Linked DNA regions of Mus musculus. The protein of the gene in region 1 interacts with the protein of each later gene in a biochemical or structural test. Links are inferred from orthologs where the notes say so. Each region holds a gene or a part of one and is shown on either strand. Other genes may lie near its edges. The genes, in order: Abcc4 and Mpp1.

Region 1 (3,815 bases):
AAGGAAGGGAGAAAGGAAGGAAGGAAGGCAGGCAGGCTGGCCATCCCATCTCTTGGCATTGACATGGCATGGGTTTGGGTCTAGGACCCCCAAGGATAGCAAGGTTTGAGGGAGTTCAAGTTTATATAAATGCATCATGTGTGCAGATAACCTGGGTACTTCTGTATATTTCACGGCCTCCCTAGATTACTTATAATTTGCAATACAACATAAATACTGTATCGACACTTGATACATGGAATTACTGGGGAATAGAGGCCAAGAAAAGTGTCCATGCATGTTCGGTACAGACAACTATTTCCCCCTCCGAATCCTTTTCAGTTTGTGAGAGCAGAACCCATACATGCTGTGTCTGACTACACTTGCAGCTGTCTTCGCTGCCCACATCCCCAGTCTCCACACCTTGGATGATCCCGGCATAAATGGATGTGTTATCCTCCCTCTCTTGTAGATGTTTCCACTCGGCTGCTCCGCTTGGCTAGCAGTTTGAGCCATTCGGTCATTCTTGGTGTCTTCGGTGTTGCCTTTGAGCTTACAGCCTTTTGTGGGTTAAGTGTGCGCCCTACCGCCGATCTGTTCTCCCACGCTGGCCTGCTTTCCTGCTGCATTGCCTGCAGTCACCATTCGGAGGCTTTTGTGCTTCCCTTTCGCTTACAGCCCCTCTTACCTTCCGCAGGCAGAGAACACGCAGGCAGTGCAACCCGAGGAGAGCCGTTCGGAAGGGAGAATCGGCTTCAAGGCCTACAAGAATTACTTCTCGGCGGGCGCATCCTGGTTCTTCATCATTTTCCTTGTGCTGCTTAACATGGTGGGCCAGGTACATCATGACACCTGTGCCCTCTCAGGATATTCACACATGGGTTTACAGTGGGGTGTGCTGTGTGGCAGGGAGCAGCCAGAGTGTTGCTAACCGCAGTCGAGAATTGTATAGAAGAAAAAAAGTGGGGTTACCTTGTAAGAGCTTAGAGGTAACACCTTGTCTGGGAAGTTGGCCTTGGCACAGCCTGAGCCAGCTGACCATCCTAATGAACGCTCTGGGACCCTCCTCTCCGTCCCACGTCTTCAGCCATTTTGAGTTTCGAGTTTGGAAGTCACGCAAGTCTTGCCAACGCTGTGTCTCGCTTCCCTCCGCAGGTTTTCTATGTTCTTCAGGACTGGTGGCTTTCCCACTGGTAAGTTCTTCTGGTCAGAATTAAAGGCTCTACGATCTATAGGTAGTAGCTTCATTTTCCCATAGGTTTTAGGAAGAGGTGGGATCTGTTAGGCCTTCTATTCTAACCTTCGTCCCTTGAAGAGGAAAAGTGACGGCTTGCTGGTGGGGTGTGACCCACACCACTCTTTATCCATATCTGGTCACCACCTGCACCTTGAGAACTGAACGTCAGGGGTCAAAGTTTGAAGGGCAGCCGCAGAAAGCGTTGTGTGAGCTGAGAATTGCTTTCTGGCACAAGGCCTTTCTCCTAAGCTTAGGTTCCTTTTGTTTTTACCTAAATCCATACCTTAGTAATTTTTTTCCCTCCCATGTTCCACCCATAGGGCGAACAAGCAAGGTGCACTGAACAACACCAGAAATGCGAATGGAAATATAACGGAGACCCTAGACCTCAGCTGGTACTTAGGAATTTACGCAGGTAACGTTTAGCCATTTGATCTGTTATCTGAGGGCCTGAGGTGCTTACGATGGGCCTGTGTGAGTAACCAGAGCTCCTAGGAGTAATTCAGTAATGTCTTAGCAGATTAGGAGACTCCGTCGCATTTACTCTGTGAATTAATTAGAATAATTTTTTTTTTTAAATCTACCCGGAGAAAGAGGTTGAATGAAGACTCTTAATTTGCTCTGTACTGGATTTTGAAAGTTAAACTAGGATTGAGCGTTCAGAAAACCAACCACTGGAAATATGTGACTATTGTCTATTCTAATAGGTCGCTTTAGCTAAATCTTATATCATTATATGAATGGGCAGGGGGATTAGAAACGGATCCCCACCCTGTGGCTTGGATTGTTCCAATTCTGACTGAATAAGCCCAGGCCTTTATTGAACTTGGATGGAATCCTCTGGCAGCAAGGCCCCCCAAATAAAATCATTATCCCCTCACAGGTATGCAAAGCTCCCTACAGCACACTGCTCATCTCTCGGGCTTCACTAATTACCGAAGAGGGAAGCTAAGCAGGGAGAGGCCCAGTGTGCAGGAATTAAAACTCCTTCTCTTTCCTACCTTGAGACCAACAATGTTATCACGTCTCCGACTGTGTGATTCATTTAACATTTGGTTTGCCCGACTAATATTAACACCCCACTCTGTTTTCACAAGAGTGCTTGGAAAAAGTATAGAGTTAGTTTTCAAAAGAAAATCCTCATCTAAAATTTCAAGTGTTCCCACGGGAGACAGGCTTTCCTTGGCTTGCACGAATTACCGCTGTTAGAAGCCATTCACCCAGGTTTAGAACTTACTTTGTTGACGTCTCCCTAAGAAACCTAAATCCACTGACTGGTTACCGTCCCTACCGGCAGACTGTGCGAACCCTAAAGGGAAATAGATCCATTATCTATTCAAGTAGCCTGGGCGGCCAAGGAAAACGCAGCTGTATGGAGTTTTAGAATTAAGTAGCTCCAGGGGTTAATGCTGCTTCATTAGAAGGCAACATGTTTACCACATCAGCTCTTCCCGGTCTTTGTAGCAGTGTGAGCTACAAGCTAATGGAAACTAGGGAAGCAGAGTTAGGGGGTAGCTCAGGATAGAATGCTTGCCTCCTGTGTGTAGCATGACACAGCACACCATGCCTCTCCACTTCCTATCCGTGCAGAATGGTTCAAGAATGCCTTAATGCAACACAGAGTTTGAACACTGCTCATTTAAACTGTGATATGTTTCCATGAGACATGCATTGAGTGACTAGTTTACTATTTAGTTATCTTATGTTAAAACATGATTTGTATGTTCTCACAATTCAACCGTTTCAAAGTTTTCCTGTGTGTAAGCCAATGTGATATTTTCAAATTCTTTAAAGCCACTCAGGGGGTTTACTACAAGGAGGGTTTACCGGTCTGACCCTCTTCCCGGGGAGCACCACATGATGGTATCAGAACCCACCACAGTGCTAGATTGGGGGACTTGTAAATACCAGCTGGGATATGCAGGCAGAAATCTTTCCTCTGAGTGCTTAGTAGGACATGCAATTTGTTTTTAAAGCCTGTAGTTTATACTTTATCTGCACATAGGTATTTTCTATTCAGTAAGAAAAAAAACCACTTAGTTTTTGTCAGTGTGTCTCATAAATGTGCATCGTCTTTATGTAGAACCTAGATGTTTATGGGGAAGATCAGAGATATTTTTATAAACTGTCGGGTTGTAGAAGGAAGTGTGTCATTTCCTCAGGATCCTGGCTTTCCTTTATTTCAGGTCTAACTGCGGTCACCGTCCTTTTTGGCATAGCGAGATCCCTACTGGTGTTCTATATCCTTGTGAACGCTTCCCAGACTTTGCACAACAGGATGTTTGAGTCCATACTGAAGGCTCCCGTGTTGTTCTTCGACAGAAATCCAATCGGTAAGTCAGCCGCCGAGCTCCCCAGTAAATGTGTCTTGTTAAGGCGTGTACTCACGCAACGAGGGTCTGATGGCATTCTGGTCTTTGAGAAAGGAGGAAGTCCCTCTGCGTGTCTGCCCATTCTCTACAGTAAGCTTCCCCAATACTTCTCTCCTCCAATAGCAAATCTACATATCAGCTGCATGGACTTATCTCGGTGTGTGTGTGTGGGGGGGGGCACAGCACACGGGCACTCAGTTTGCACAGTGAGTTGTGAATCCAGTTGT
Region 2 (4,314 bases), on another chromosome or scaffold:
ATACCAAAAGAAGCCACTCAAGAAAATGCTCAGCATTCAAATCCTCATATATCCCTTCATTTTTATGTCACAATGATTACTTTCTATTCAGAAAAAATGAAAAATGGAGCTGCTTGAGTTTCAGTTGTTAGAAGCCTGTGTGTGCATCCAGAGTGTACTATACAGATAAAGCACATCAGCCAAAGACCTTTAACCATGTGGCCTTTGGATTGAGAGATGTATTTAGTGCCTGGCAAATAAAGCTCTAGTTAATATATGATTTTAAGACAATACCTGCCAGAAAAATTCTGATTCTTGAGCCCTCCTGTCTCTCCAGTTCTTATCATTTATAGTTAAATAGTTCTAATCTCTATACTTCCCTGGGGAATTGTTGGTTTTCTCATGACTTTTCTAACTTTTTTGTTGTACTTTTTCCCACTCACAAAGTGAAACAGATGTGCATGTGAAGAGTGGGTACTTGTGATTCAGTCAGGGGCTACACAAGGCTGGCAGGTGATAGTAAGGAACTCCCAGCTCTTCTGTATTTAGAGTCATTCATTTCCTTGGACTAGGCATTCTAAGTTCACCATGTGGAAGCAGTTGGCAATGAGCCTAACAGTAGGCTGAACAAATGTTTGTTCATTCCTGTGCTCAGTAGTTCACTGTCATTTTGTTCTGAAGCCAATTGGTTTAAATGAGAAAGTCAACTATAGTTGCCCCTGCTCTATTCACCCCCACTACCCCTGCCCCCACCCCTGCCAATTTTTTCAATCTATTTTTTTATTTCAACTTCCTTTGAGAAACTGTCTCTGCCCTTTGAACTGTGCTGCAGATGTTTCCTCTGAAGGAGGTGTAGGGGGTGAAGCACTGTGGAGTGGCCAGCATTGCTGAAGCCTGCACTTTGTAGAATCTAGGAGTTAAAGGGCAAACAGGACAGCCTGTGCAGAGACACCAAGGTTCAATGCCATGTACAATAGCAGAAAACAAGTCTTGGTTGAATCAGTAGGGAGCATGGTCAGTGAGTCTGCTCCTGATTATCATTCTACCAGAGAAAAAGACTCCTTCTTAGGTTTGGCTGTATCATTTGAAGAGGATATTTCCATTCAAGGTCTGTGTTTTCAGAGAATTTAAACTAAAAAAACAAAAAGTACTATTTTCAAATTATTTAGTCTTTGCCCCAGTTTTCTCAGTACCTAGTATAGTCTGTTAGTCTTCTTCATATTCTGTCCTTCACTTCTAGGATATCTATGATTTTATTTTTCAAAACCAGAAAGACCTAGATACCTTACAGATAGGAATTTGGTTTTATTGTGGCCACAGTGGCTTAAGTAGATTAGAATTTTTATCACATTAAGTTTTGTTCTTTGCACTTTATTTGCTCACCTTAAATAAGACACTGAACTAGAACATCAGGAATAGATGTTTCCTTCAGCAGTCATGACACTTTGGAGGGAGGTCTGATAATTTCTTGCTGTAAAAAATAAATCCATCTAGTTGTGACACTAAAAATGTCCTGAAGTCTGACATGTTAGCCCATATAGTGCCTATAAACTCAGGAGGCTGAGGCAGGAGAATTGCAAGGAATTCAAGGCCAGTTGGGGCAACTGAGTAAGCTACAAGGTAACCTGAGCTAGTGTGAGACAGCGTCTCAAAGCAAGAAACAAACAGATAAACAAAAAAAGCAAAATGTCCTCCTACTTGCCAGCAAGAGAGATAAAATTTGCTGACATTTAATTGGTGCACAGTTTCTTCCCCTAAGCAGTGAGTTGCTCTGTCAGTGTTACTAAAAGAGGACTTTGGGTGTGGAGCATAGAAAGGCAAGATTAAATAACCATACTTCCAAAACTAGCTTGGGGAGGGGAAATGACACCAGAGATAGGGAAAAGGAAACAGAGCTCCAGAATTGAGGAACCAGAATACAACTGTCATAATATGGATTTTTTTCTCGTATTAATTCTTCACTTTTTCTTTTTTTCCCTTTATCAAAAAAAAAAAAGTGATCAAAACACATAATAGCTACCATTCCTGTAAAGGTTTTTGGATTTATTTCCTCAGTTTCATCTAGTATCATCTTTGAACATTTTGTGTAAGTAATGTATGTTGTTTAATAGCTGTACCTTCCTATCACAAAGCCATCTTCGCTGTATCACAAGCAGCATCATAAATCTCCCAGGAGAAGGGACTGGGGAGCAGAGGGAGCAGGGTCCGTAGGTGAATGGGGAGGGGGAGACATGTTACATAGAATCTAATCACAACCACCTCTGGAGGCCTGACATATTAGATTAATAACTATTTACTGTCTAACACTGGAATATGAATGCTACCTTAGTTTACAGCATAGCACAAGGAGACCCCCTGAAATGAAATGCAGAGGGAAATGTGTGAGCTTTTTAGAGCACGAAGTTGGTTTTCACAACCATGTCTGTGAAACAACACAAACGCTCAATAACAGCCAGGCAGATCTACTATTGGATGTGTTCCTTAAAGTCTTATTTTCCTTCTTCAAGTCTGTTAGTAGACTTCCATCCATGAGCAAGTTTTCTTTGACCTTAAGTATTCATTTAGTCCTGGCCTGCCTCTCGGGATTTTCACCTAGGAGGGCTGCTCCAGGCAACTATCCACCACACCCAGATCTCAGCAGGAATCGGGCCCAGTGCTAAGGCCTCCACCCTGGGGGCAAGACACCCAAGATCTGGCCATCCGGGGACAGAGCGCTTGGGAACAAGGCCATGGATAGGAAAAATCCAGCAGCAGATGGAAAGGCCTGGATCCTAGACCCAACCCGAACCCAGAGGACCCCAGGGGTCCCGCTAACCTCAGGTCGGTTACGCTTCTGTAGTAAGTGCTCCAGGTAGAGGTCCGAAAGTGCGGTGCGCATGCTGTTCCCTCCCTCGCCTTCGCTCGACTTGAGCGTCATCTCTCAGGAGCAGAGACAACCAGACGCAGTAGCCGCAGAGCTTTGAGCCCAGGAATCGCAAATCGGGGAACTGCGGCCTGTTCAGAGACGAGCTAGACTAAGGCGGCGGAGGAGGCAGGGATCAAGAGCTGCGCTGAGAGCCAGGAGGGCCAAGCAGAGCAGTACCCACGCTCCGCCTACTCTCCACCCTGGCCCGCCCCTAAGCCCACCCACGCCTTGGCCTTCCTTGTGCTTAGCGATTGGAGAAGGCGCAGTTTAGCGTTGCTTGAAAGCTCCGCTCTAACCACGCCTCTGCGGGCCCTGTCGAGATGCGCAGCCAGCATCCCTGAAAAGATAAAATTCCGAGACAGGAGCTTCCATTCTCTCTCTTACTCGCACGACCTGTGAACTACCGAAGCGGATCCCAAAATGTCCAACTACTGCAACTGCAGCTCTTTTACCAACCACGAGTTGCAACTAGCTGAGTGAACTTTACATCCAGATTGCTCCTGACATCAGGAATCAACCAGCTACCCTGAAGAATGTAGGGGCTCTTAAATTGGTCCCAAGGCCAATGCACCTTTCCAGGTTTAGACTTGTAAAAGTGTGCTGCTGGTACCATCATTTACATTGGTATATGCTATTCAGCGAGGAAAGATGGGACTGCCCTCAAGAGCAAACTGGTTTTATTTACCTTAGGCCAGATCTCCTGTTGTTAATGCCACACAATTTCTAGGAATCAACAGAAGCAAATGGAACAAATAATCTTCAAGAATTGGAGTAAACGCCCTAAACTTCCAAATGGTCTGGAGACTAATGAAAGACTTTCTAAACAAAATGAATGTTTACTGGGTTTAAAGGCTCCTTGGGAATCCTGTCCTAAAATTCAGAGCTTGTATGATTGATAGCTTACACTCTCCCCCGTCCCTAGAAGAATTACTTTTAGGTGGAGAGAGAGGAGAAGAAAAGAGAAGAGAAGAGAAAAGGGGAGGAGAGAAGGGCAAAGGAGGAGATCTTGGTACAGAGGAAGAGAATACACTGAGCAATGTTACAGAATAATCAACTATGTAACACCTCTGTGCCCATATACAAAGGTACTCAATAATAAAAACAGCTAGGTGAGTAAATAAGGCCTTTCATTAACTGACAGTGGAACTGGAAAGGATGAAATTGGAACCTTGGTTTATGTGATACACAATGAAGATGAACCTCAGTTGGCGGACTGCTTAGCTAGCATGCAAAATCCCTGGGTTCAACTCTCAGTAATGCACACACTATTCATGATAGTGCGTGCCTATAATCTTAGCATTTTGGAGGTGGAGTTAATAGGATCAGAAGTTCAAAGTCATTCTCAGTCACTCAGTAAGTTTGAGGGCAACCTAGAATACATAAGACCTTGTCTCAAAACAAAACTAATAATAAGTAAATAAGAAAAAGAA

Evidence for each region.
Region 2: the proteins of Abcc4 (region 1) and Mpp1 form a complex in vitro, tested with the Homo sapiens proteins (2 studies listed by BioGRID and IntAct, with this or other methods). The link is inferred for Mus musculus from reciprocal best matches to the Homo sapiens genes ABCC4 and MPP1.

The regions. Positions count from the first base shown.
Region 1 is NC_000080.6:118,594,496-118,598,310, reverse strand, and holds part of Abcc4 (multidrug resistance-associated protein 4), read left to right. Parts: intron 1-676; coding exon 677-817; intron 818-1,134; coding exon 1,135-1,172; intron 1,173-1,536; coding exon 1,537-1,631; intron 1,632-3,402; coding exon 3,403-3,549; intron 3,550-3,815. UniProt on the Homo sapiens protein: ATP-dependent transporter of the ATP-binding cassette (ABC) family that actively extrudes physiological compounds and xenobiotics from cells.
Region 2 is NC_000086.7:75,127,931-75,132,244, forward strand, and holds the start of Mpp1 (55 kDa erythrocyte membrane protein), read right to left. Parts: upstream 3,087-4,314; 5' UTR 2,897-3,086; coding exon 2,795-2,896; intron 1-2,794. UniProt on the Homo sapiens protein: Essential regulator of neutrophil polarity. Regulates neutrophil polarization by regulating AKT1 phosphorylation through a mechanism that is independent of PIK3CG activity.